Stegostoma tigrinum: one gene and its partners. The protein of the gene in region 2 interacts with the protein of the main gene of each other region in a pairwise test. Links are inferred from orthologs where the notes say so. Each region holds a gene or a part of one and is shown on either strand. Other genes may lie near its edges. The genes, in order: gpr25, creb3l1, pgap2 and tmem218.

Region 1 (6,377 bases), on a different chromosome or scaffold from region 2:
GTGGATTTTTCCAACAGTGTTTATGTGGTGTCCATTTGGCTAGCTTTTAATTCTAGATATTCATTAAATTCAAGTTTCATTCTCTGCCATGGTGGGCTATGAGCCCATGTACACACAGCATCAGCCTAGGGTTCTTAATTACTAGTCAAGTTACTATTATGCCGCTGCCTCTCAATTATGAGAATTAGCAAGTTGTTTCAGCTGATGAGTCACACCCAAGCTTCATCATGCCAGAACCCTGGATAATTTTCACCTTCCAAACCTGATTAGATCAAGGTCATCAACAGCTGAGATCAGCTAAGTCACCAAAACTTGGAAATGTTGATGGCTAAATTAATTCAAAGAATAAGATGGGTTAGAGCAAAAATTCTTGAGTGAATGTTCTTTTGTGCAGTTTTAAGGCAACACCTGAAAATTTGGAATCAAGACAGCCTAATTAGGAAGGAAAGGTAAGAACTCCCCTCGTGCTTCGGCTTCTATAGAATTCTATTTGTTGTATGCTAATACTTTCTACGTAGTAATCAGAGGAATACCACAATCAGGACTGACTGTTATATTGTTCAGATACAGTGATCTATGGTTCTTCTCTCTTTGCTCTAACTGACTAACTCCACACACACAGTGCTATCTATACCCTGTGAGAAGCAGCACTGTGATATCTTTAAAGCCGTTACACAACAAAGATGTTAATAACTGAATAGGGAACACAGTGTGATAACATGTGATGTTTGATAAGTGCCTGGGGATTTTCTGTAATATTGCACTGTATCTGTGAGCTTGTGTTTTTTTAAAACTTGTTACAAAGGCTTTAGAGTTCTCATATTGGGATTATTTTTCAAGTAAATCAATAATGGAATGTATTATTTCTCCTTGGTATTTTATTTAAGTGTGATTAATTTCCAGAAATAATCTCAACTTTATTGTTCATTTTCCATATCTTTCTGAATTTGCTTGATAATTTGTGAAGTTATTTCTGGTAAAATTCTTCATTATAAATATTGTCCAAATCTTATTATGATACATCTTCAGTTATGCTAGGAAATATATACCCTTGACTGTTTGTCATTCATGCTCCTTGAACTGGTGTTACCATTTCAATGTCTCTCGTAGTAAGAATTATTTAGTTAAGCTCAAATCAATCATTTAAGTTTTCAATTTATTTATAGTGTTGTGCTTAGTAAAACAGAATGAAGCAAGGACAATGAAGTTGGCATGCAAGATGTGAGATCAAAGCATTAATAAACACATAGAATGAGGAAGGACTATAGTAATAATAAGCAGAGGGCTAGCAGGATGAAGAATGAATGGAGCTATCAGAGACACAGATTATTGGAGAGGATGACTAGCATGGTGACAGTGAGCTTCCAAATTCAGTTTAGAATTGGGGTTGAAAGAATAGCATGTGCTGATGTAATGCATCAATTGTGAATTCAAAGAAGGGATCTTGAGATTAAAATGCAATACGTGTCTGAAACAAGAAGAGAAGATGTGAAACAGGGACAATGCAATTGATGCAAAAGTTAAACAACTAGCTCACTTGAGTGCAATTTCAATATCAAGGATTTAAAACTATATCATTTCAACATTTTGATGCATTTCTATTCTTCTGAAACTTTTCATTGGTGCAGGCATTTCAGTTTTAGGTAGATTAAAACTTTTTAATTGTTTACACTTTATTTTTTATGAATGAGCAATTCAAGTACCTGCCTTTATAGTTTGAATTTATGCTGCTTTGTTGAAGAAGATGCATGGTGACATTTTTTGTCCACAAATAATTTGCCACTGTTCTTTTGACTACAGAAGCAAATTAGCTTGTCATGAGGAAACAGTTCTACAGAAAACATTTACAGAGAATCATCGAATTTTACCATATTGAAGGAGGCCATTCAACCCATCATGTCTGTACCGTCCCCCGGACAAGCTACCCTATCTCTGTACCCTTCTAAATTTAGCACTTTCAACTATATATCCAGCTGCCTTTTGAAACCTCCCATGGAATCCACCTCAAACACTCTGTCACACAGCATATTTGAAATCAGAACAACTCCTTGAGTAAAGAAGTTTCTTCTCATATCACTTCTGGCTCTCTCGCTGATAGTCTCGAAATTGTAACCCTTAGTCACTCAAATATCTACTAGTGGACGCAGAATATCTTTCTGTCAAAATTGATCGTAATTTTGAATACCTCAATAAGGTCACCTCTTAATCTTCTCTGCTATAAATTGAAGTCTTCTTTTGCCCTTTATTTCAGATACACACTTGTTGCATAGATAATTATAGTCCAGGAGTAGCAACAAATCAACAATTGAACTAAATAAATCCACTATGACAAGACAGTTAATGCTTAAAAATCATTGCCATACGATGAATAAGTAACGTTACATTACAAATCAGATGAGATGCATTGTTGCAGGAATGCAGGGGATGAGCTACAATGCATAGAAGCAAAAGGAACAGGATTAGACAAATAGCCCACTGAACCCATCCTGCCTCTCAATTAGATCATGGATACAACATAATTCAGTTTAATTTATTTCTGTTTATTTCATACCCTTTTTAGGATTAAAATATGTTTTTAAGGTTTGAAGCCCCAAACTGTACAGGGTATACAGGTAGTGTCCAGCCAAAGCATTGAATAATTGGAATATCTCTTCCTACTTATGTATTGCAACAAAAAGAACATGCCTTGACAGAAAGACCAACATTCATCAGCTACTAAATGCTAAACGTCTGCACAAGTTGTTACTGCTTTCGTGGATGTAAGCATTTAAATATCTTTGTTCTTTCACAGTTTTCAATATTTTTCAACAAAGAAAACATCCTCGCTTGTTTTCCTCAGATATATAATGGAGTTACCTTTGTTATGTTCCAAGCGATCAGTAATATATTAATTTTAGCAATTGCAATTTGAACTTCTATTTTCTCTTGTTGAGAAAAAAATACTCAAGTAAGAAATAAATTGGTTTTAGATGATGCCCATGAATTGATCTGTAATATTTATTTAAAATATTTATTTGCTAATACTCCTTGTATTACAAAGTAGTAAAATTAAGCATGTCTAATATATGTACTGAAAAAAGGTCAACCTGACCTACAATGTGTTTGTAACTAAACAGAAAGATAACATGTTACATGAAGTTCATGCCTAACTGAATTTGCACAAAGTAACCACAAATGATTATATTTTGGGTGCTGGTACTTTGATGAATATGAACTGTGAATATGAGGTTTCAGTTGAGCACTTTCCCGTTGTGTAAATAATTTAATGTGATGGCAGAGTTTTTAAAATGGGTCACTTCTGCCTAATGTGATTTGCAGAAATATTGATTAATACATTAGTTAGTAGATACGAGTAATGACACAGAATTGTACAGCTCAGAAGACCAATCAGCCCATCGTGTTTAAGTGCATACTCTTTGAAAGAGCTATCCAATTATCTTCAGCACCGTGCTCTTTCAATATTACTTTAAAAACGTTTACTTTTTGAGCCTTTTGGGCAGTGCAGCCCGGATCATAAAAATAAAATCCCTTGTCCCTTATTATGAAAAAGAAAACACTTTATCTATTCCTTGGTGTTTTCACCAATAATCTTAAATCAGTGTCTTCTGATTACTGACACAGTTGCCAGTGGATATAGTTTCTCTTTCTTTACTCTGACAAAAAGCCTTCATAGTTTTGAATATCTGTATTAAATCTCCCCTTAACCTTTACAGCTCTAAGAACAATGATCTCAGCTTTGCTAGTCTATCCAAATAACTGATCTTTCTTGTATATCAAAATAAATGTATATTAGTCCAATTTGATAGCATGCTTATAAAGTTGGCTTATCAAGCCATGCAATCTAATTTTGCTAATGTTCGAATCTGCTTTCATAAGCATTCTTATATGGGTTTCTGTAGTTTGTTACACTTAACAAGTTAACATCTACCCTGCAAGATATCCAAATGTAGATCTGTAAAGAAAAAAACAATTTCTAAGCAAACTTGATTATATACTTAATGAAACACACATAGAATTTAAAATATTAGATTAGTTTTGATTAATTTTGTTATTTTGGGCAGCTTTGATATGGTAAAAACATGTTGGGAATCTTGTCTTGTTGGAATACAGTATCTCGTGGTGTGTGCCATTAATTAGACTTTGCCTGATATCTTCAGCTCAAAGCATTTTTGCACTGTAATTTGTTGGATGGGCAAGATGACAATGATCTAGTGTGCACAACAGGGAACCTGAGAACTTTTGAAACCATGGGGCCAAAGTTTTTTTTGAACATTTGTTTCCATTTTTCATATCATATGAAGAATAACTCATTGTATTGACTCATAAAGTATATTCTTATAAAAGTAAGGACTTAACATTTATTTAAAAATCTATAAAAGGATGAGGTATGTGTATTTCGGTGTTGCTTCTCTTAGTTGATTGTAGGAGCAGTTAGAAGTGTTGCACCAACCTCCCGACCTCATCATGTACTGTTATTTCCTGTGCCACCAGACCAATGGCATGTTGACATCGGAAACAGCTTCAGATCAGTTAACTTGAAACCACTATAAAAAAGGGGGGATTTGAAGCTTCCATCTCTGTACTCCGTTAATATTTCAGACCGTCTCTACTTTGCAAACTGCAGAAGTTCGAATTTTTGAGTGCGCCATTGACACTTGTGTGGACGAAAACAAGGAAATTGCTGAAACCATTCTTTTGGCAGCTTGGCATAAGTTACTTCGAAGTCAGAGCAAACTTGCAGCTACCAGAACCGAAATGTCCGCTACAGTTGGAGTCACCGAGCAGCACGGCTACACAGTTTCTGAGTATGCTCCCTATTCGGAGTACAACGATTATGTGGATGACACAGACGGAAGAATCTGTCCTCCTCAGAATTTACATTTCCTCAACATCGCAATCTCAATTCTCTACTACCTGATTTTCATCGTTGGGTCCTTGGGGAATATATTTGTCATCCTGGTAATGATCTGCAAAGAAAGGAGGAGGAAGAGACTGGTAGATACTTTTGTGATTAATTTGGCCTTTGCAGATCTAATCTTTGTCTTCACCTTGCCATTCTGGGCAGCATCAGCCATCAGCGACCATCACTGGAACTTTGGCAGCGCCTTCTGCAAGATCAGCAGCTATATTGTTGCTGTCAACAGGTATTCCAGCATCTTCTTCCTCACCTGTATGAGTATTGACCGATATCTAGCCATCGTGAAACTACGGGACTTCAAGCACCTCAGAACCCAGAAATACGCCGTGACCATTAGTGTCATGATCTGGGTCTCTTCTCTGCTTCTGGCCGTACCTTCCGCCTACTTTCGAAAACCTGACCAAGTGAACGTGACCCAGTGCAGGGAGGACACGGATTCCCTCTTCCTCCGAGTGTTCAATCTGACCGCTGTCAGCCTGACCTTTGTCCTGCCTGTTATCATTATCCTGTTCTGCTACTGCTCCATCCTTGTCAAGCTCCGGCATCATTATGGCCACAGCACGAAAGCCATCCAGAGACGGGAAAACTCTCTGAAAATTGTCTTCGCCATCGTGTCGGCTTTTGTATTGTCCTGGTTGCCCTTTAATGTGTTCAAAACGATTGCTCTGTATTTGCAGTTTCGCGACACCGACCTGTCCTGCTGGACAGTAGTGAGCCGAGGCTTGGCCATTGCTTCGTGCATTGCTTTCATTAATAGCTGCGTGAACCCGATCATTTATGCATTTTTAGACAGGAATTTTAGGCAGAGAACTGGCTGGCTCACTTCTTATGTTTTTGCCGGTCTGGGCAAGAGAAGCGGGAGCTTTGGGTCTGGGTCAACACCTTCAGAGAGCAGCACAATGCTTAGAATACAGAGTCTTCTGTCGCAACAGTGAATGTTATCTGTACACAGGTACCAGACAAGCTGGTATTGCTGATTAAATCTGTCTACAGCTAAAACGTAAAGGGCTGTTGTTCGAAAAGAGATTTTTGCAAGCTTCTCATACAAATGTATCTGAAAATTGGGGAGGTTGAGCCCAATTCTGTTCGACAAAAGAGCAAATGTGTTGCATTGAATAGTTGACTTGCGTTTGCACTTTCACCGAGTGTCGAACGTCTAGATCAGCTTGCTCTGTCGTCATTGAAAAGCAATGCATGTTTCTTAACATGTAACCAAAGTATTTGGATTGCTTTTAATGTTTTATATCGAATTAAATAAACTTTTAATCAAACCTACCTTTTTTCCCTTGGTTCTTGTTCTCTGCTATCATTGCAAGTTTGAAACTTAAAGTTTTAAAAAGTAAACAAAACTGATTACTTCTCAGAGGAAACTAGTAACAGACATGCAGCTATGCAAGCCACAAATGTGTATTTAGCAATTAACTCATTGGAACACGTTCCTCCATCAAAATACTCGACA
Region 2 (7,016 bases):
AGAATCACACATTCATTCAGCATAGTAACAGACCCTTCGGTCCAACCAGTCCATGCCAGACATAATCTCAAAGTGAACCAGTCCCAGCTGCCTGCTCCTGGCCCATATCCCTCCAAACCTTTCCTATTCATGTACCCGTCCAAATGTCTTTTAAACATTGTAATTGTGCCCACATCCACCACTTCCTCAGGAAGTTCATTCTATACGCAAACCACCCTCTGTGTAAAAAATTTGTCTTTTTGTCTTTTTTTAAGTCTTTCTCCTTTTACTGTAGAAATGTGTGGAGAGTGAAAGCAGAGTTAACATTTCGGGTTAAGTGACCCTTCCTCAGAACACATTTAATTATTAAGTTCTTTTCTTCCTTTTGTTCCTTTGACTCACTTTTTACTTTCTCTTAAACCAATATTCAACTATCTCTCTTTATTTCTTTTTCTGCAGCCGATTTGGTTTCAAACTCACTCAATCTAATTTGCTCCCCCACCATCTGCTTACTTCCCAATTCCTTAACCTGGTCTTGAAATCATCCATCCTTGGGAAAAGTCAGCTACCATTAACCTTATCAATACCCCTCTGATTTGTTCCAGATCTCAATAAGGTTGCCTCTCAACCCTCTACACTTCAGTGAAAAAGTCCTAGCCTACCCTAGATAACAAGGTGTAGAGCTGGTTGAACACAGCAGGCCAAGCAGCATTAGAGCAGCACGAAAGCTGACATTTTGGGCCCGGCCTATCCAGCCCTTCTTTACAACTGAAACCTTCCATACCCAGCAGCATCCTGGTAAATCTCCATCTTAATAATATCATCCCTATAACTGGGTGACCAGAATTGGACACAGTATTCCAGAAGAGGCCTCACCAGTGCTCTGTACAACCTCACCATCATGTCCCAACTCTGATACTCAAAGGACTGAACAATGAGGGCAAGCGTGCTAAATGCCTTTTCAACCATAAGTAATGGGTATTTATTCAATCTGTTATCTTCCTTGGCAACCTGTGACCCATTACCTCGGTTTCTCTCTTCACAGATGTTGCTTCCATCATTTTCTGTTTCTATTTCAGATTTCCAGCATCTGCAGTGTTTTGCTTTTGTTTCCAACAACAGTTCAGTCTAACCCACAGAATAATTAAAGCTGCCAAAGTTTGCTGGGTTGCCTGATCTGCTATATTTAACAGCTCTGTTTTCAGTGCAAAAAATAGAAATATATACATTTTTTTAAACAGGACACTTTTAGACTTAAAGACCATTTCAGTCATCAAAATATACACATCTATTTTTACATCTCACAGCTGCAGAGACAGCTTCTCCACACTTAGAGCTCTAATTGTTGTGCGATAGAATGACAGAATTCCATTAAAATTCTTAACTCTGCAATTCCCTTGAAGATGGTTTATTTTCCTCTCCTCATTCCTGTTTTGTCTTCATGATATTCCTCCAGCCATGTACCTGCATGACCTGGGGGAGCAAAGATGGTCTTCAGCAGGTCGTCCACCAGGGGGCATATGTGAGCTTTCTCCTGGAGGCTCCCCATTCAATCCTTTGCTGTCCTTTACCTCCTTTATAATAGGTACAACCTCCTCGCAGCTACAATGCTGTCCGACGCCACAGTCACTAGCGACATATGGCTAACTGTGTGTTTAACTAGCAAATTAAATAAATGGAGACACTCGGTGTGTAACTCACTTGTGACACGTGAGATGGTGGGTCCAGTCACACAAGGAGTTCATGTTGTTGTTGCAATATGCACATCTACATGAACACTGCAGCACGGAATTATGAATTGCGATGGCAGAGAGTGGCATAGCGTCTCAGTGGTTAGCACTGCTGCCTCACAGGGCCAGAGTGCGGGTTTGATTCAGGTGACTGTCTCTGCGGAGTTTGCACAGTGTGTGTGGGAGTTTCCTCCAGGAGCTCCAGTTTCCTCCCGCGGTCCAAAGATGTCCACATCAGAGGGATTGGCCGTGGATGTGCAGGTTAATAGATTAGTCATGTGAAATGTAGGGATAGGGTCTGGGTGGAATGCTCTTCAGTGGGATGGTGTGAACGTGATGGGCCGAATGGCCTACTTCCATGCCATTGGGATTCTACAAACTCTCTTTTTACCTCATTTCTGCTCCTACCCTTTAAAAACGTTCAGCCTTGTTAAGACGTCGCTGTCTTGGCACATCAAGTCTTTGGGGTGGGTAAAAACAGAAAGCCAGGGAAGGACCCGGCAGGTCTGGCAGTATCTGAGAAAGAGAGGTGAAGTTGCTTTCAGGATGACTACCTTTCAGAACTGGAAAGAGAGGAGAAAATGCGATGGGTATCGTACTGAAGCTGAAACAAACAGGAGGCATTTAAAGGAAGGGTTGGGAAGGGGACATTAAATGCCAAAGATGTTGTGGAAAGCAGGGTAAGGGAACAGTAATGGTTGTAGTTTTAAAAAAAGCGCTGGTCCAGTGTTAATAGCACAATAAAGCACAGCTCAGTTAGAGCAGAGGCATAAAACAATGCCACTGGTATTTGTCAAAAAAAGACAAAATTGTTGGACTCAGTTCCTGCTCTGAAGTTGCTGAATTCAATGTTCAGTCTTAAAGGCTGTAGGGAGCATCTGTTATATTTCTTGTAATTGCATGAGTGATGGATGGGGGGTGTTTAAGGATGAACCAGGGTGTCCCTGATGGAATTTGGATAGAAGTGGGTCAGGTTGGGAGGTCACATTCAGTGGTGACATGATGCCAGAGCTGGTGGAAGATGCTGACTTGAATATGGTGGGGTCAAAAGTGAGGATGAGGGCCATATCCTAACCCAGCTCTGAGAGACAGTGAGGGCAGAACCGTGGTAATGGATGCTGGCCTCTCACGGCTTGGGATGGTGTCCACCACACTAAAATGGCGACCTTCTTCGGAAGGTGTACCATGACCTTTATTGTTGGTGAAACGCAGTGGGAAAATGCAGAATATTGTGGGCACTTCCCTGGTTGGCAATTTGACGTGGCTACAGAGAACATGTGCTTGTGAAGTCTGGTCATTGACTTCAGGAAGCAGGGTGGAAGATAAAGTGGAAGTGGTTAAGAGCTTCTAGTTCCTAGAGTAAGGCTCACCAACAATCTGTCCTGGTCCATCCACCTCAATACTACAGTCTAGAAAGCACACCAAAACCTCTACTTCTTCTGAAGGCTAAGGGAATTCAGCATGTCCACAAGGATTGACCAACGTTTATGGATGCACCATAGAAAACATTCTATCCGGATGGATCATGGCTCGATATGGCAACTGCTCTGCCCAAGACTGTAAGAATTTACAGAGAGTGCGAACATAGGCCAGTCCCTCACGAGAAACAGCCTTCCTTCCATTGACTTCATCCACACTTCCCACTGGCCTGGAAAAGCAGCCAACATAATCAACCCCTCCCACACCGGTTACACTCTCTTCCAGCCTCTTCCATCGGGCAGAAGATGCAACAATTTGAAAACACGTACCATCAGATTTAAGAACAGCTTCTTCCCTGCTGTTATCAGACTTACAAATGGACCTCTCATATATGAGAGCTGATCTCTCTCTGCACCTTCTCAGCAGCTGTAACACTATATTCGGCATTCTGTTCTATTGCCCTGATGTAGGGTACAATTTGCCTGGCAAAACAGTACTTTTGGCACATCACAATAAGAAATCAAGTCAAAAACTACCTGTTACAGGAGGGTGTAGGTGGCTAAAAATGGTGATGCTGTGGCAACAGTTGGGCTTTACCCAGTGGACAAGGGCAGCAGGACGGAGCTGGGGAATGGAGGAGGTTTATTCTTGTAGGTGTCAAATTGGTCCGTCGTTGCCCTTCAGCTGGCACTTTGAAGTTATCTGTACATCTATCTAGTTGCCCCCAGCACTGTGAGGGAGAGGGATCTAGGTTTAACACAATACCTGCTCTCCAGCTGCTGGCTCAGAGAACTGAAAAGGTTAACAGTGCAGAGAGGGGAGTGACGTTATGTCTTGGAGTGGGGGTTGGTGGGGGGTGGGGAGGTGTGAGGACTGTGTGTGAACTGGCTAGTGACAGTCAGATGAAGTTTGGGTCGGAGTTCATACAAGGAGAAGGAGAGAGAGAGAGAGAGACAGCCAATAGACAGAGACCGAGCCCAGAATCTGCAGCTGGCTACCAGTTTGTGTGAAACTGACATCAAACACAGACATCAGAGAGCTCCCAGACACAGCGAGAGCTGCACCGGCACAGCCCGAGCTTTCCGAACGGCAGGGGAAGCCTTTAGCAAAGCCCGGAGCACGGGTTAAAGAGCCCGGGCTCCTAAAGGCTATTCCCCTGAGCTCCAGCATCGTGCACGATCCCACCGGATCCCCTAAACCACAACCCCCACTTTCCCTCCCCAGCTCTGTCAGCCACTATGGATATCCTGGATAACTTTGGAGTAGAGAAACTCTTCGCAGCTTCAAGCCTTGTGGACTTGGAAGATTTGAACGAAGCCGATTTCCTCACCAATGTGGTAAGTTTCTGGGCTAAGCAGCTCGCTTCTCTGTACAGAGCTCCTTCTGCACTCTCTCTCCATCTCCAACATCCTACTACTTTTCCACTTCATCTTGTGCTTGTTCCAGTCAGACCAGGACTGAAATACACGCAAACACACACACAAATCAAACTCTATACGAAAATACTGGACACACAGAAACATAGAAGAGGCATAAAAATGTACTGACAAAACAAAACAGACATGCACGCTGAAATATACAAACCACAGAAATGTACAAACCACGGAAACACACTGCACACAGAAATATTTAAAAAAATACAGAAACGCACAGACATGCACACGGAAACACTCATGAACAATGCACAAATACATACAGACACAGAGATACTGGCACACATAATGAAACTGACATAAACGTACACAGATACAAGTGAGGAAGGAGACAGAAACCACACGCACACACATACACAGACAGAGTACACACAAATGTATTTGCAAACACACACTGAGACAAGCTTGTACAGACAGATACACACAGGTACAGGGATCCTCACAAACACACACACTGAGACAAGCTTGTACAGACAGATACACACAGGTACAGGGATCCTCACAAACACAAACTCCCAGGGATTCAGTTACTCACCAAGTCATGTAACACAAAAACACTTACTCACACAGATGTGCTACCCCTCCAAGACATATTTTCCTTCTCTGTGGTTTTCAATTAAACCATACCCCAACAAAGTGAAATGTCAACCGGCTCTTGATAATACTAATACAAACTTCAGCTGTAATCAGTGTCTCTGAGCTGACTCAGACCGTTGTGGATTCACTTTATATGTCTGCTTGAAAGGAAACCAGCTGTGCACATCCTACTGCAGGATATTCCACTTAGTTGGAGTTCTCTGCTGTATTTTATATGGAACACAGCTCAGAAAACAGGGCTCATTTGCTGGCGAGTTAGTATAATAATTGGGGAGCTGGAATTCCCACCACATAAAGCAGCTTATAACAGAATGGTACATTATGAATTTTAGCACCGAGCACCTACATTTGGAATGTATTTGAGAAATAATTTTTTTTTCAATTCAGGAGATGTTTACCTAAAGAAAGGTGTTTGTGTGAAAATGCTGGTGATAGTCAGTCTGGTCCCAGTGGAGTAAAGGGAGACAATTCAGCTCCATTAGGATGCGGGAGGGCAGTGCAGGTTTTTAGAATGCAGTGCAGTGAACAGGACCAGTCCTGTGTGAGTGTGAGACAGGCAAGCTCTGTTAAAGTGATTAGGAACAGTTAATGTGCTCTGATTTCATCTGTGGAACAGTTTGGTGTCCATTGCATTATGTAGAACAAATGCAAATATGGTACTATACTGTATCATCTACACCATTCTATATAGCATGTGTTGCTAATATATTGTAATATAGTATATAAAGAATATGGCATATGAAAAAACTATACACATTTAATACTGTCTGTATTATACTTATCACTGGATTAATGAATATCCATTGTTTGCTATTTTCCACTATATGGCTAATGGACCCAATCTTTAAATACTTCTTTACAGTTATTATATAGATGCATCTATTGCCATATGGCTGGGATGGTGTGGCTGAGTCATGTCTATACTGTTTAATCACCTATAGATTCTACATTAACATTTGGTAAGATGGAGCGAAAGTTGTATTCGTGATGATGTCTTATTGGTCATTCAAGCTGATTGTTCTAAAGCCTCATACTCTCACATCGCTCCTCCAACCAGTGCAACCCTCACTGGTTCTTAATCTGTTCCTGCTACTTTCTGGTTCTAAATTTATAGATATTTTCTAACTGATCTTTTCAACAGTGTTCTCTCACACTTCTAGAGCTGGTGGGACTTGAACCCTGGATTTATACGTTTGCTTCTTCTGAGTATTTTCCTGTTTTGCCCTGGTGACTATTAGTTTTGTTTCTGCTTTAGGCTTTGTGTTTAGGCCTATTTTCTTCCTATATGAGTCTCCCAGCTTGCTCTCAGGAAATTGCTAGTTTTTTTTGCTCTAGATTCATTTTCCTAATTGCTTTCAGTATTTACCAGTTTTCTTCCTGGTTTATTTTTGGCCTGCTCCTGTTTAAGTTCCTGCTGTTAGTCTGTTTCATACCTGGGTTGTACGACTTGCTAGCACTTGCATCTTCCAAGTTACAAAGTTGTCATTACACGTCCCAGTTCAGAAACATGGGCCTGTAATCTCGGCTTCAGTATCCAGAATGTGCTGCACTGTCAGAGATGTTGACTTGCATATCCTGGCCTGTGTCCTTTATTCCAGGTGATTCCCTGCTTGCTCATAGCCAAATGTTGAGTTTGACCAACTTGCACAAAGTCTTTGCACACTCATGTCTCTGTTCTGTTTCACCTGCATTTTTGTTTCCTTGTGTGTGCCTGTGTCTATTTGTGTGCTTGGACTACCTGTATGACTTTGCCAGTGTATCTCAGTGGCTGTTTGTTGATGGCTCTGTGGTTCGAGTGTGCCCGTCGCAACGTGCATATGTTCCTACTAGCACGTGTTTCTTCTCTCTCAATTAACAA
Region 3 (7,909 bases), on a different chromosome or scaffold from region 2:
CTGGTACAATTACAACATTCAAAAGGCATTTGGATGTGTATGTGAATAGAGGGATGTGGACCAAATGCTGGCAAATGGGACTAGGTCAGATGGGGGTGTCTGGTCAGCGTGAATGAGTTGGACCGAAGGGCCTGTTTCCATGCTGTACAGCTCTATGACTCCATTGGTGGCCTTCAGCAATGTGGGCTCTGCACTCTGGAATTCTCTCCTGAGTTTTCTCTGTCTCTCTTTCTCCATGCTCCAATAAAATTTTGTGCATCATCTTGTACTTATTTAGGCTTTGAAGCACGTGCAGAAGGACATACAGAAACATCAAGACCTGCCTCATTCAAAGAAAGAGAGCAAGTGATGCAGAGGGCCCAAACAGATGAAGACATCATTGCCAGTGCCTGTGGTCGAGTGCTTAAAATCAGGGACATTTAAGAAGCCAGAATTACACAAACAGATTTCAGAGAGTTGTGGGATTGAAGGAGATGACAGAGATAGGGAGGAGGCAAAGCCACGGAAAGAGTTAAACACCAGTTAAAGAACCCTGTAATCGAAGCAACCAACATGGATCAAGGAACACAGGAGCAGAGGGTGAATAGGGTTTGCCACAAGTTTCTACCTTTTTGTTATTGCAAATTACTGAGGATAGGAAGTGGGAATCCTGCAAGAGGAGCATTAGAGTAATCAGAGCTTGAGCATAAATGAAGGTTCCAGAAGCAGATGTGTGGAGATAGGGATGAATCCAGGCAATATTAGGGACCTGGGTGATGTGATAATTTGGTTGAAAAGTCATCATGGGATTGAATGCGAGACTAAGGTTTAAACTGGTACGTTTCAGTCTCAGTCCGGTGTAAGGGCCAGGAATGGATTTGGAAGCCAGTGACCAGAGTTTATAGTGGGGAGCAAAACCAATATTTTCACATTGTTCATTTGGAGAACCTCTATCACATGGTACTGAATTTTAGTCAAACTGTATGACAACTGAAGCTCATGCAAGGGTGGGTCTTTGGTCTTTCTCTTATCATTGAGTCAGAGTCAGAGTGCAAACAGCATGGAAAGAGGCCCTACAGCAGCTTCTCTTTCTTTTTCCTCTGGTCCCCTATGATACCATAAGATAAAGAAGTAGAATTAGGCCAATCAGTCCATCAGGTCTGCTCCATTGTTTTATCTTGGCTGTTAGGTTTCTCAGCTCCATTTTCCTGCCTTCTCCCTGCTGTGATCCCCTTACTTATCAAGAACCTATCTATCTCTGTCTTAAATGCACTAAATAACTTGTTCTCCACAGCCCTCTGTGGCAATGGGTTCCACAGATTCACCACCCTCTGGCTGAAGAAATTCCTCCTCATCTCAGTTCTAAAGGGTTGTTCCTTCACTCTGAGGCTGTGCCTTCAGGTCCCAATCTCTCCTACTGATGGAAACATCTCCACATCCACTCTATCCAGCCCTGTCGGTATTCTGTAAGTGAGTTTTGAGAAGATTTGTAGCTCAGGTTGAGGATCTGGATGTGAGTTTGCTCGCTGAGCTGGAAGGTTAGTTTTCAGACGTTTCGTCACCATTCTAGGTAACATCATCAGTGAGCCTTCGACGAAGCGCTGGTGTTATGTCCCGCTTTCTATTTATCTGGTTAGGTTTCCTTGGGTTGGTGATGTCATTTCCTGTTCTTTTTCTCAGGGGATGGTAGATTGGCTCCAAGTCAATGTGTTTGTTGATGGAGTTCCGGTTGGAATGCCATGCTTCTAGGAATTCTCGTGCATGTCTCTGTTTGGCTTGTCCTAGGATGGATGTGTTGTCCCAATCAAAGTGGTGTCCTTCCTTATCTGTATGTAAGGATACGAGTGATAGTGGGTCATGTCGTTTTGTGGCTAGTTGATGTTCATGTATCCTGGTGGCTAGCTTCCTGCCAGTTTGTACAATGGAGTGTTTGTCACAGTTCTTGCAAGGTATTTTGTAGATGACGTTCGTTTTATTTGTTGTCTGTATAGGGTCTTTTAAGTTCATTAGCTGCTGTTTTAGTGTGTTGGTGGGTTTGTGGGCTACCCTGATGCCAAGAGGTCCGAGTAGTCTGGCAGTCATTTTAGAAATGTCTTTGATGTAGGGGAGAGTGGTTATGGTTTCTGAGCCCGTTTTGTCTGTTTGTTTGGGTTTGTTGCTGAAGTTCTGTAAGTTTCAATCACATTACTCCATATCCTTCTAAACTCTGAGTACAAACCCAGAGTATTTAACTGCTCCTCATATGACAAGCCCTTCATCCCTGGGATCATTCTTGTAAACCTTCTCTGGACTCTCAGAGTGGCATGGTGGCTCACAGTGCCAGGGACATGGGTTCAATCCCAAGCATGGTCACTGTCTGTGTGGAGTTTGCATGTTGTCCCTGTGTCTGTGTGTGTTTCTACTGGGTGCTCCGGTTTCCTCCCATGGTCCAGGGATGTTTTTAGGCTAGGAGGATTAGCCATGATCATGGCCTGGTGTTACAGGGATAGGGTGGGATGCTCTTGGAGGGTCTATGCAAGCCAAATGGCCTCTTTCCACATTATCCATGCCAGTACCTTGCCCAAACACCATAGGCTTTTAGTTCGTTTAGCAGCCTTCTGTGTGGTACCTTTACAAAGGTCTCCTGAAGATCTGTCCATGATCCCCTCCTCCTATTATTCACCTCCAAGCTGCCCCTCAGCAAAATCCTCAGATCCCAAACGTACACTGGTAACGCCCAGCCCAACTTTGCCAAACCAACAGAAGATTGTTGTTTACTGAACAAGAATGAATTGTAAACAATGTATGCGTACATGATATTGAGAGAGTATAAGGTCAGTAGTTCCCGTACGCATGGGACAGAAGTTGGAAATAGGTGAAACAGAGATGGGCAGCACCCAGCTGAGTATAAGAGTGGCTAAACTGAATTCCGCCTGAGAAAGACACCCTCTCAGAGGCTGTCTGAATCAATACCTACATACTGGAGACAAAAACTTACACCATTCCTTGCTATTCTTGGTAATATCATTGGCCTAGTGATCCAGAACCACAGGCTGATGTTCTGGGGACATACTTCCATAGCAGATTGTGAAATATGAATTCAATAAAAATCTGGAATGGAAAGCTATTGTAACAGGGACCATTTAACCACTCTTAATTGGCAAAACAAAACCCTTCTGGTTGACTCAGGCCCTCTGGGGAATTAAATTTGACATCCATACCTGATCTCCAGATCCACAAGCAATGTGGTCGACTTTTAATTGTCCCCTGGGCAATTAACAATATGCAATAAATGGTAACTCAGCCACATCTCATGAACAAATAAAAAACAAAACTTCTTGTTCAATGGCCACCATTTTCACAAGGTGAAAGAATCAGATATAGTACAACAAAAACAAAGATTGCTGGATAAGTTCAGCAGGTAATGAGCATTTGAGGAGAGGAATTGGAGTTAACGTGTTGGGTCCAGTGGCTCTTCCTTAGAGATTTGGATGTTATGCATTTGGTTGGTTCAACTTACCAGGGTTCACAAGTTGAGATAGTGGTCTTCCAGTTCTCGTGTTCCCCTTTGAGAGGGAGGGTTAGAGAAGAAGGTTGATTTGATATTCAGTTGGTCAGCTTTTTCTGATGAAGGGTCTAGGCCCGAAACGTCAGCTTTTGTGCTCCTGAGATGCTGCTTGGCCTGCTGTGTTCATCCAGCCCCACATTTTGTTATCTTGGATTCTCCAGCATCTGCAGTTCCCATTATCTCTGAAACTCATTTACCTTGTTTCATTTGCTGCATTTATTTAAGTGTAACACCATCAGTCCCTCTTCCGATAGTTATCCCATTATCTGCAATGCCTGAATTTAGATTCCTGCCCTTTTCTATACTCTCTGTTGTATTACTTGTTCTGGAAGTGACCTTCTCTGATCTTACAAAGGCCTTTGATGCTGTCAATCAGGTACCATTACAGAGCATCCTTCTCCACTTTGACTGCACAATGAAGTTTATCACCATCCTTTGCCTGCTCCACAATGACATGGAAGTCATGATGAGAAATGGTGCCACCACCAACCCATTCCCCGTTCGGACCAATGTCAAGCAGGGCTGCATCATTGCCCCAACACTATTGTTGATCTACCTCACTTCAATGCTTCAACTCACCATTGACAAAGACTCCACTGGAGTGGGGCTAACTCACAGAACCAGCAGGAAATTAGTCAATATCCAAAACCAAAATGACCCCAATAAGTGTCATCCAGCTGCCATTAACAGATGATGATGTTCATACTTTTGATGTATGCAGACTCAGGGGATGTACTCCAAACCATTGACAAAACCTTACTGGATGCTTTTGAGAGCATTATTTGGAAGTGCTGGTGTTGGATAGGGGCGGACAAAGTCAGAAGTCATACGACATCAGGTTATAGTCCAATAGATTTCTTTGAAATCACAAGCATTCAGAGTGCAGCCCCTTTGTTGGGTGAAGTGAGAAAGTGCACACAGATGCAGAATTTATAGGCAGAGAAATTTCTGCTTTTGATCTCTCTGCCTATAAATTCTATATTTGTGCACTCTTCAGTGACATCCTTATGGCCTGGCCTCACTGGCGAAGTGCTATATTCCCACAGACATTTGGGAATCACCAGCCCAACACTGTTCAAATTGGAGGAGCTTCAGAAAGACATCAAACGCCTTGAGGCTCGCTGTGAAAACAGGGCCCAACCCCTTTCCCTCCCCAAACTCCCACACTCCAGGTCACACCATCCCTCCCTTCCTGCAGGCCACACTCTTCTCCCCCAAGGACCCACTCCAGTCCCATACCCTCTAATTCCCACCAACACCATCCTTCCCTAAGACCCATTCAGTCCCCAAACCACAAGGCTCCGCCCCCTCACTCCAGTCCCCGCCCCTCTCCATGCCCCGCCCCTCCGACGTCTATCCTTGCACCGCCTCCTCCTCCTAGTCCCCGCCCCCTCCTGGTGCTGATCTCTCGGTGGCTTGGGCCCCATTCCGCCCCCTTTCGCCGGTTGCCGTCGCTGCTGATGGTCCTGAACTCGAGGACCTGGCTTTTAGGAAGCGGCTGGGCCGCGAGGCCAGGATTTCCCGGGGTTTCTGAGCAGTTTGTTCGGTGATTCCAGGAGGACGGCCCGCGATGGGGGAAAGGTGAGAACCGGGGCCGTCCGTCACTGTCAGGGGGTCCGAGTGAGAGAGACCCGGCGTCGGATCGCGGCCTGAGGGAGATCTTCCGACCCGCAACCAGTGAACCCCACCGACCGGGATCCACTGACCCACACGCAGTGATCCTCATCGATCGGGATCCATTGATCATGCTGTGATTTAGTGGCCCACTGACCAATGTCTCGTGACTTGAACCCACTGACCAATCTTAGTGACAACGATCCAATAAACAACTGACTGGGACCCAGTGACCAGTAGCGACTGGATGGGAACCATGGACCGTGATCCACTGTGGAACCCAGTCACTAATATCCAGTGGCCACAATCCACCGAACAGGATCCAGTGATTATAATCCATTGACTAGGACCCTCTGACTGAGATCCAATGATCCACTAATCACAATCCACTGGCCAGGAACCAGTGACCCATTAAACATGATCCAGTAACCCACAGACCAGGATCAAGTGACCCACTGGCCAGGCTCCAGTGATGGGGACTCAGCCCCTTCCAAGCCCACAACCACTTCCATCTAGAAGGACAAGGGCAGCAAATACATGGGAACACCAGCCCCCTGCAAGTTCCCCTTCGAGCCACTCGCTATCCTGACTTGGAAATATATCACTGTCCTTTCAGTGTTGCTGGGTTAAAATCCTGGAATTCCCTCCCTAATGGCATTGTGGGTCAACCTACAGCACATGGAATGCAGCAATTCGAGAAGGCAGCTCACCACCACCTCCTCAAGGGCAATTAGGATGGGCGGTAAATATTGGACTTGTGTGAAGGAGCTTTGGTGAATTTCTGCAGGGCATTTTATAGATGATATCTCTGCATCTATTGAACATCGGTGGTGCAGGGAATGGATGTTTGTGGATGTAGTACCAGTCAAGTGGGCTGCTTTGTCCTGAATGGTGTCAAGCTTCATAAGTGTTGTTGGAGCTGCACCCATCCAGGCAAGTGGGGAGTATTCATCACACCCCTGACTTGGGCCTTGTAGGTGGTGGGCAGGCTTTGGGGAGTTAGGTGTTCCCAGCATCTGTATTTTATGTGGCTTGTTCCAATTTAGTTTCTGGTCAGTAGCAACCCTGTAGTGATTGGAACAAGGTCAGCCAGGTGGATCTCATAGACTATGAGTTCCCTGTTGGGGAACCTGGTCCAGGCAGGGAGACCTGGCTGACAGATAGAAACAGGAGTGCCAGCCCTGAGATATCTAGGTCATGTGTAAATAAAGGGTGACTTGGTGATGGGATACCTACCTTTGTGCAGTTACTTCAGTGGTCACGAGAGTTGGATTGCAATTTTGGTTGAAGCCTAAGAGAGATGCTGAGACACTGTTTGGTACGTGGGATTGATGATGAGACCATGCAAAAGCACCTACTAGCTGAAGCCTACCTAGACTTCAAACAGGCACCAGAACTGGTTTTGTCATTAGAAAATATAGCATGCAGAGCTTGTGAGTTACGGGGTATTCCAACAGAAGTGGAGACCCTCGCCAGACCGACTGAGCTTGGGGGAACACCACTCCTGAATTGAGTAATAAGCTAATATCCAGGAGAATGCACACCCTGGAAAGACCATTGACAGCTGGTTTGGAACAGTTCAATTGCTTAACAACACCCAAATCAGAACCTATCAAAAGAAGCATCTGGTGAAATAGTCACTCCGTTCTATTGGAGGTTGATATCAGTGCTTGCAGAACCAGTCTGTACTAAAATTTGCTCTGGACTCCAAGCCTTAAGTTTGTGTAAGACCTCGGCCAGGCTGAAAACCTGTACCGGGAACCCTCTACAGATTATGGGCACAATTTTGGTTCTGGTCTCTTAGGAGAAGCAGCTGGTTCAGTTACAACTGATTGTAGGAAAAGGCTTGGGCCTGAGCTTGATGGGCTGAATGTGGTTGAGAAAGATTCAACTTCGCTGATGCAATATGTTTCAATTAGAAAACAGCTGCATGAGTGAAGTCCTAAATAAACACCTAGAGGTTTTTCAAAAAGATCTAGGGACTATCAAAGGGCCAAGGCCACCTTACATGTTGATCACAAAGCAATTCCACAATTCTGCAAGGCCCACCCAGTGCCATTTACCCTATGTACTAAAGAGAGGCAGAAATCAGGATCCTGGAAAGTGAAGGAATCATCAAACTAGCGGCAGTTTGCAGAATGAGCAGCACTGGTTGTGCCAATTATGAAGCTCAAAGGGTTGTTTTGCTTTTATGGGAATTTCAAACAAACGGTAAACCAGTTTTCATGGCTGGATAAATATCTAATCTCTTGCACAGAGGACTTGTACGCAAAACTGGTGGGGATGGGGGAGGGGGCTGTCCTCCACGAAAGTGACATGAGCCATGCTTATCCTCAATTGTGATTGATTTATTTATTGCTACATGTACTGGAATACAGTGAAAAGCTTTGTTTACAAGCAGTACAGGCAGATCTTAGTAAGCCAGGATGTACAGATCAAAGGTTGTAAAAGTGTGTAGACAGAGGCATATGGGTTACATTGCATGTGCTAGGCGAGATCAAAGTTAGCAACATCAGCATTATTTGAGACTAGAGAGTCCATTCATCCATGCGAGACTGCCATTTGGAGTATCATCAGCCTGTGTCATTTTTTAGCGGACTATAGAGAACATTTGACAAAGTCTGCCCCAAGATGCCATTTATCTGGGTAACGTGGCAATAACAGAGCAGGCTAATAGAGGGCACTCAGAGACAAAAACAGAAGTTGCTGGAAAAGCTAGCGGGTCTGGCAGCATCTGTGAAGAAAAAATCGGAGTTAGTGTTTTGTATC
Region 4 (7,540 bases), on a different chromosome or scaffold from region 2:
GATCTTAAGGACAGATACATCTGCTCTCCCTGAGAGCTTGCGTAGATCTCATCTCCACCCACAAATTGTACGTAACATCAGTCAAATGGGTGGAACCAATGTAACAAAAACATTAACCTCTTTTAGAACCATTACCTTATCCAACATCTCCCACTCCAAATTTTTGTTTTTCATGGTATACTCCATTACACAATGTATAAAACTATAGTACATTTATTAGAACCCTGTAGGTTCCACCACATCTAGGAAGCCCAGTGAAAGTTTCCCCAAGATCAGCCTGGATGACAACTGTTTGTTTCTGGATCAACTGTTCTCTGGGAGGTAGTCAAACTCCTTCGACTCTCCTAAGAAAGTTGAAGATGTGACATGTTTGCCGGCTTAACGTGAAGTTTCTTGGTTGTGAACAATTTACACATTTTCAACTTTCTTCTGTCCACTTTAGTGTTCTGTAATTTGTAGACTTCTATGCTTCTGACAGTTATTCCACTACAGCATGTGAACTCTAACTGGTACAGACATTGTCATGCAGAATGCACCTGTTAAACAATGTTCAATAACTACTAAGCTTTTTTAAATTCTGACGAAAAGGTTGACACTGATTGGTCAAGGCTTTGCTGAGGAATGAACCAAAGAATACTCGTCACCTATTAAGATGAAAGGGGCATAATGTGTGTACATGTTCTTCGTCTGCAAAGACTATGGTATGTGGGCTGTAAGGCTCAAAGATTAGTCATTACGTCAAACAGCATGGCCCTTTGGGTGTTCTGAAGGGTCTAGGCCCAAAACGTCAGCCTTCCAGCTCCTCTGATGCTGCTTGGCCTGCTGTGTTAATCCAGCTATACACCTTGTTATCTCTCTTCTTTGAATCCCAGATGGTTGGGATCACCAACTTCCTCTCTGATGCTTCAGTTATATTTTCTAAAGGTCCTTGCGTATACAATCTCACCTTCTGCAACAGCGTGACTGTGAGCTACTTCTGCATTTAATTTTTGATTTTGAAGCAATCCTGCATTTGAAGAACTGTCATCTCCAATGAAATTTAGTCTTGTGTTCTGCATGCTCCTTCTCAACCTTTGAATAGCTTGGAAATATTTTTACATCTTTATCCATTTTTTCCCCACAAGGTACTGATTAATCTTATTAATGTAGATAAATTTAAAATCGGTGTTAATTCAATATTCTATAACTCTATTCTTCAAACTTGCATTCACATATGCAGTTGTAAATTAAACAGACCTTGCTGAACTCCCCATCACAGCAATGTTACAGTATTTTCTTTGACATCCCAGTCTTTTTACTGCTATTCCTATTATAATGTATTAATTACTTAATAAGACTTTAATTAGTACTATTCACTCTTCTGTAACAAATGAGTGGTTTTTAAATCCATTTCTTTGTAATACTACATCTCTTTACTACCTCCTGGGTTTTTCCACTTCTTTCAGAGTATTTCCCACCCCTTTTAATAATCAAAATGATAGCTACCTACTTTTTTGATGACATTGTAACTTTCTGCAGCTAAGACAGATTTTTTAGTTCTTTTCAGGTGAAATGGATATTCCTTTTCACAGTTCAAAACACCAAGCATCATCTTCTGCACATTTTTAATGTATGTTTTCTTGCTGCATTCTTTTAAAATATTTCAGTTGACACTGAAATGTAATTACTTAATTATGTTGATTTAAAATCTTTAATTATTCCAGACCTTTCTTGTTCTGTTACACCTTTGACTAAATTTATCTAAGTATATTTTGATTCCAGATTCTGATGCCTTCCCAATTCTGAGACTTGGTTTAAATTTCTTTTCTGGCTCTTCTGCTGTTCCTTGCAACTACAATTGTGGAGTTTAATGTCAATCACGGTTAGATACACGTTTTTTTTGGAAAAATAAACTTTTAACGCCACACACTTCTTCCAACTAAAAGCTATGAAAATTCCTTCTCTTTCATCTCTGATTGTTGGATATTTTGAGCTTTCTTTGTCTCATCCTCTTTAGGATCAATTACATGCTCCTGTTGAGGAAGGATCATTGGATCCGAAATATCAACTCTGTCTTTTCCTGCACAGATGCTGCCAGATCTGCTAAGCTTTTCCAGCAACTTCGTTTTTGTTCCTGATTTACAGCATCCACAGTTCTTTCGGTTTTTACGAGCTCCTTCACCCCATCCAAGACAAATTGAGGTGTCAGTGCTGTTTGTTACTCCGCTTCTAGTCCGGATGTTATTTTTCATTTACTATACTTCAGATAGTCTTCCTTTCCCTCTGCTTCCAGTACTTCTTTGTCTCAAAACTTGTTTCTCCAGATATGAATTGCATGTTCATCAGTACCAAGAAGTCTTTGCACTCTGCTTCATGCGAAAAACCCAAGTTCCTTACACCCAGTTTCTCAATTGCTGAATATGTTCTGATGGAGACACGGACCATCCGTCCTAGAGCAGCGGAGATGCTTATTCATTAAATAAACATGACCCTGGAAATGTCCCATTGTCATTGCGTATTTTGTTGACTGCCTCCTCACGTCTATATAAGAACCTCTAGTGCACACCTTCCAGCAGAAATAACTTTTTTACGGAAGAAATACACAGCCAACTTACTGAAGAGTTATGCTGTTAAAGCTTGTTAAATATGGGCTACTTCGCAGTTGTGCGCGCGTAAAGTTTACAGGGCACGGTGCCTTCCAAGAGTGCTTTGCCATTTTTATTCCATCACCAAACACATCTTCCCCCTCTCCAGAAAGTGCAATCCCTCTGGGAAACTTCCCAACACCATTCTGTACCTGATGGGCTACTGTCTGATCCAACTAGAGGGTATATAACACCCATCTCTTCACCTCGACCCAAACTCTTTCAAAAAATGGCTAGCTCCATGCATGCGGTTTCTAGTCTGAAAAGAGCAGCTCCAACATTATCATTAATCTGCCTTTTACCAATACCCAATACTCTCCCCGAATGAAGATGAATTCAAACCTGCATATGCCAGCCTAGCAACTCGCAGCAGAAGCAGCACCTTGCAACATCCATCGCGCCTATTGGCCCAAAGGGTGTCTCAACCAATAGGAGGCTCCCATACATTCAGGTTAAAATGCCATGGTAACTGTCTACGTCTGAGTGCAACAAGAGTGAATACAGATTTAACATAGTGATCTGATACAGAATTAATCTACAGAGTTCATCTTGTGATCTAACAAAGAAAATTAATATACTGAGAGTAAATAAAGTAATTTGAGAGTTCATATATAGAGTTAATATAGTGATCTGATTTAGAAAGTTAAATACAGTCAATAAAATGATCTGATATAGAGATAATGTACAGACAATTAATATGGTGACCTGATGTAGAGATAATATACCAGAATTATTTGAATGATCTGATATAAAGAGTTAATTTATAATTAGTTGATAAAATAATTTGTTGTAAAGAGTTAATATAAAGCCAATATAGAAATCTGATATAATTAAAGATAACAAAGTGTGGAGCTGGATGAACACAGCAGGCCAAGCAGCATCTTAGGAGCACAAAAGCTGACGTTTCCGGCCTAGATCCTTCATCAGAAATGGGGGAGGGGGTGGCATTGTTGTGATACTGCAGGAGGCCCAGGATGGACATGTCATCTGAGGAATGGGAGAGGGAGATGGAATGGTTCGCGACTGGGAGGTGCAGTTGTTTATTGCGAACTGAGCGTAGGTGTTCTGCAAAGTGGTCCCCAAGCCTCCGCTTGGTTTCCCCAATGTAGAGGAGGCTACAATGGGTACAGTGGATACAGTATATCACATTGGCAGATGTGCAGGTGAACATCTGCTTGATGTTCATTAACCTCATCCCACCCCCTTGACTTGTCCATCCTCCCTGGACTGACCCATCCCCTCGCTACCTCCCCACCTACACTCACCTCTACTGGCTCCATCCCTGCCTCTTTAACTTGTCTGTCTCCTCTCCATCTATCTTTTCCTCTATCCATCTTTGATCCGCCTCCCCCTCCCTCCCTGTTTATTTCAGAATCCCCTTCCCGTCCCCCATTTCTGACGAAGGGTCTAGGCCCAACACGTCAGTTTTTGTGCTCCTAAGATGCTGCTTGGCCTGCTGTGTTCATCCAGCTCTACACTTTGTTATCTCAGATTCTCCAGCATCTGCAGTTCCAATTATCTCTGATATAATTAAGATAGTCAGTAGCTGTCACAATCTGATATAGTTAATATATGAAGAGTTCATACTATGATCTGATATCGAGAGTTAATATACAGCCAGCTAATAGTCATCTAACTCACAGTGGATATAGAGTTTATAAATAGTAAATCAACATACAATAAATATACAATGATGTAATATAGGGAATTAATGTGCAGAGAATGAATGTAGTAATCAAATATAGAAAGCTAATATACAGTTAATATACAGTCATCTAAAATAGTAAATATGAGTGAATATATAATCGTTTAATATGCGTAATTAATATAAAGATAGGTAATATACAGTGATCTAACATATAGTTAATATACAGCTTTAATGTATAATCATCATATTTAGAGTTACACAGAATTAATATACAGCCAACTAAACAGTATGGAATTAATATACAGAAAATTAGTGTGCAGTGATCTAAATTAGAGTCTTATTATACAAAAAGTAAATATGCAGTGATCTATTGATGGTGATCTCTCACTGATTTAATAAGCAGTTATTGTACAGAGTGATCCAATATCCAGAGTTAATACACAGGGAGTAATATAAAGATTTAATTTACAGAGAGTCGATACACGGAACAACTTTATGTACAGTTTTAAATGCTGCTATCTAATATACTTTATTAATAAACAGGGATCTAATATACAGAGTTCATATCTATATTAATATGCATAGTTAATATACAAGATGATCTAATATAGAATTAATGTACCGTGACATAAAACACAGTTAATGTCCTGTGCTCTAATATACAGTTTTAATACAGACTCGATATACAGTGACTTAATATACAGAAGGATCTAATATTCAGACTTTATATGAGGACAACCAATGGAAAAGATCTCAATTTACAGTTTGCTAATGTAAAGAGTTAATATACAGTAAGTTATTATACAGAGACTTGAAATACAGACATAATATACAAAGAGTTAATATAGAGAGTAAGCTAACATTATGATGACAGGTCAGAATTCCGAAATATTACAGACATGTTTTACTTAATACCAAGCTTTAAAATAAATAACTGCTATAGAAAAAGAGTAACTCCTTAAATTCAGTGACTGGCAAAGTCCATTGTGAAGCCAGGGGAATGTCGTGACTACAAACAGTCAGGGAATCAGGAAGACAATTAACGAGAAATTAACAAGGGACAAATTCAGAAATTGCTAAAAAAAAAACCTGGCAGGTCTGACAGCATCTGTGGAGAAAAAGCAATAATGTTTCAGGTCCAGTGACCCTTCAGAGAGATGATGAGAGGGCTGACGAACTTCCCTCTCAGCAGAAATCCATTCTTGCAGACACATCTGTTTTACCCTTAAGAAATATCTAAAGAAAGAGTTCATAAAATTCATGCAACACTAGCCTGCCTATGTTGTTGTCTGAACATCTTAATGTGTAGGCGAGAGAGCTGTGAAGGCTACAGATTTGAGAACAATCACAATGCACTGCAAGTAAAACAAGAAGGTAAGACTGTCTCTCACTCTGACAAGTTCAAGAGAAACCAGTCAAAGGAATTTCAATTGACTTACAAAACAAAGAATCTTGAGATTGATTGGTCAACTGACAAAGTTGATGTTATCCACACAGCAGCGTGGTCTTCATGAACAATTCAGAGATTGATCCATATTTCACGATGGTGTTGTGACTGTAAAGGTGAGTGAATAAAGAAAGGGAGACTCTTCATTCCTCACCCAGGAGCTTAACAATTTGGGTATCCCATCTTGAACTATAACAAATTGGGGAACCTGACGTCAGGTCTGGTTGCAATGTTAATATTCAGAGTTAACATTGAAGAGTGTTACAATACAGGGAGTTAACATACAAAGTTAATATACAAAGAGTTGATATCCATAATGATTTAATATACAAAGATGACATACAGAGAGTTACTGCAGATCAAACATATAGGGCTAATCAAAAAGAGACAATATTCAGTGTTAATATATTGATTAATTCACAACAATACACAGAGTTAATGTACAGAGTAATCTAATTGATTGAGTGAACGTACAGTGACCTAATGTAGAGTTAATATATAGTTACCTATACCTAAAGTGGTTATTAACATCCCAGCTCCCCCTGCCCCACCCCTCCAAAAGCGTGACCCTCAGCCTAAACTCAGCACAATCCATGATCTTCTGAGGACCATGGTCACTTTTCTTTTTACTGAAGTGATCAGATCTATAAGGTAATCTAATGCTTGGTCATTATCTCTTTACTATTTGTGGGATTGTACTGAATGCAAATTATCTTCCATTTTTCTTTCGTTACAACCCTTCAGAAGTACGTAATTGGTTGTAAATTAAACTACTTTGGCATATCTCAACTACATGAAAATTGCTATTCAAACAAAAGTTCTTCACAAAGCACTATATTAACAAAAGAAAGTCTTATATTTACAAAGCACTTTTCATACCACCAGAAATTTCATTGCATTTTAGTCAATGAAATGAGTTTTGAAATATATTTCACGTTGTAATGGAGGAAACTTCATAGCCAGTTTGCACACAGCAAACCACCACAAACAGCAACGTGATTGAAATAACTCTATGAAGGCCAGTTTCCCATCACCAAGTCACCCGTTATTTACACATGCATAGCACATAACACTGACCCAGCCAGTTCAGTGCGAGCTCTGAGAATGAACAGAATCTCTGACAGTCCTGTTTCATTCTGTCAGCAAGACTCCCTGATTAGCCCAGGCTAGCAGCCCCAATCAGGCAACTCATATTCTATAAGGCTGATACCTGGCTGATATCACTCCGGTCACTATGATGATAATGACCAGATGATCTGTTTTGTGACTTTGATTGTGGGATTAATGTAGGCCAAAACACCAGGATTAGATTCAGAGATAATGGGAACTGCAGATGCTGGAGATTCCAAGATAATAAAATGTGGGGCTGGATGAACACAGCAGGCCAAGCAGCATCTCAGGAGCACAAAAGCTTTTGTGCTCCTGAGATGCTGCTTGGCCTGCTGTGTTCATCCAGCCCCACATTTTATTAACCAGGATTAGATTCCCTGCTCGCCTCAAGACTGCCATGGAATATTTGACATGCACTCAAACAGGTGCCTTGTTTTAACATCTCATCTTAAAGACAGCCTCTCTGATAATTCAGCACTCCCTCTAAACTACATCGGACTGTTGCTTTTGGTGCTTCACTCTTACAGTGGGACCTAAACTCAAATCCTCGTACCTTAGAAGTGTGACTGTTACCAATGGAGCCACAGCTGAAAGGTCAGTGCAAATTCTTTCTTGAGAGAATTGGCAACCAGACAGTCACTGGTGGAACCATACAATATTTAAATTGATTTGCCTTACTGTAATTTTAATGTAATTTTTAGTTTTCAAACA

The links.
Region 1: the proteins of creb3l1 (region 2) and gpr25 interact in binary tests that used the Homo sapiens proteins (3 or more experiments, as listed by UniProt). The two-hybrid records come from large-scale screens. The link is inferred for Stegostoma tigrinum from reciprocal best matches to the Homo sapiens genes CREB3L1 and GPR25.
Region 3: the proteins of creb3l1 (region 2) and pgap2 interact in binary tests that used the Homo sapiens proteins (3 or more experiments, as listed by UniProt). The two-hybrid records come from large-scale screens. The link is inferred for Stegostoma tigrinum from reciprocal best matches to the Homo sapiens genes CREB3L1 and PGAP2.
Region 4: the proteins of creb3l1 (region 2) and tmem218 interact in binary tests that used the Homo sapiens proteins (3 or more experiments, as listed by UniProt). The link is inferred for Stegostoma tigrinum from reciprocal best matches to the Homo sapiens genes CREB3L1 and TMEM218.

What each region holds. Positions count from the first base shown.
Region 1 is NC_081374.1:27,294,692-27,301,068, forward strand, and holds gpr25 (probable G-protein coupled receptor 25), read left to right. Parts: upstream 1-4,559; 5' UTR 4,560-4,755; coding exon 4,756-5,853; downstream 5,854-6,377. UniProt on the Homo sapiens protein: Orphan receptor.
Region 2 is NC_081370.1:475,809-482,824, forward strand, and holds the start of creb3l1 (cyclic AMP-responsive element-binding protein 3-like protein 1), read left to right. Parts: upstream 1-4,000; 5' UTR 4,001-4,366; coding exon 4,367-4,465; intron 4,466-7,016.
Region 3 is NC_081359.1:111,740,154-111,748,062, forward strand, and holds the start of pgap2 (post-GPI attachment to proteins factor 2), read left to right. Parts: upstream 1-4,882; 5' UTR 4,883-5,096; coding exon 5,097-5,107; intron 5,108-5,168; exon of another isoform or gene 5,169-5,882; intron 5,883-7,909.
Region 4 is NC_081385.1:30,801,488-30,809,027, reverse strand, and holds the start of tmem218 (transmembrane protein 218), read right to left. Parts: upstream 3,027-7,540; 5' UTR 2,967-3,026; intron 2,617-2,966; exon of another isoform or gene 2,595-2,616; intron 1-2,594. UniProt on the Homo sapiens protein: May be involved in ciliary biogenesis or function.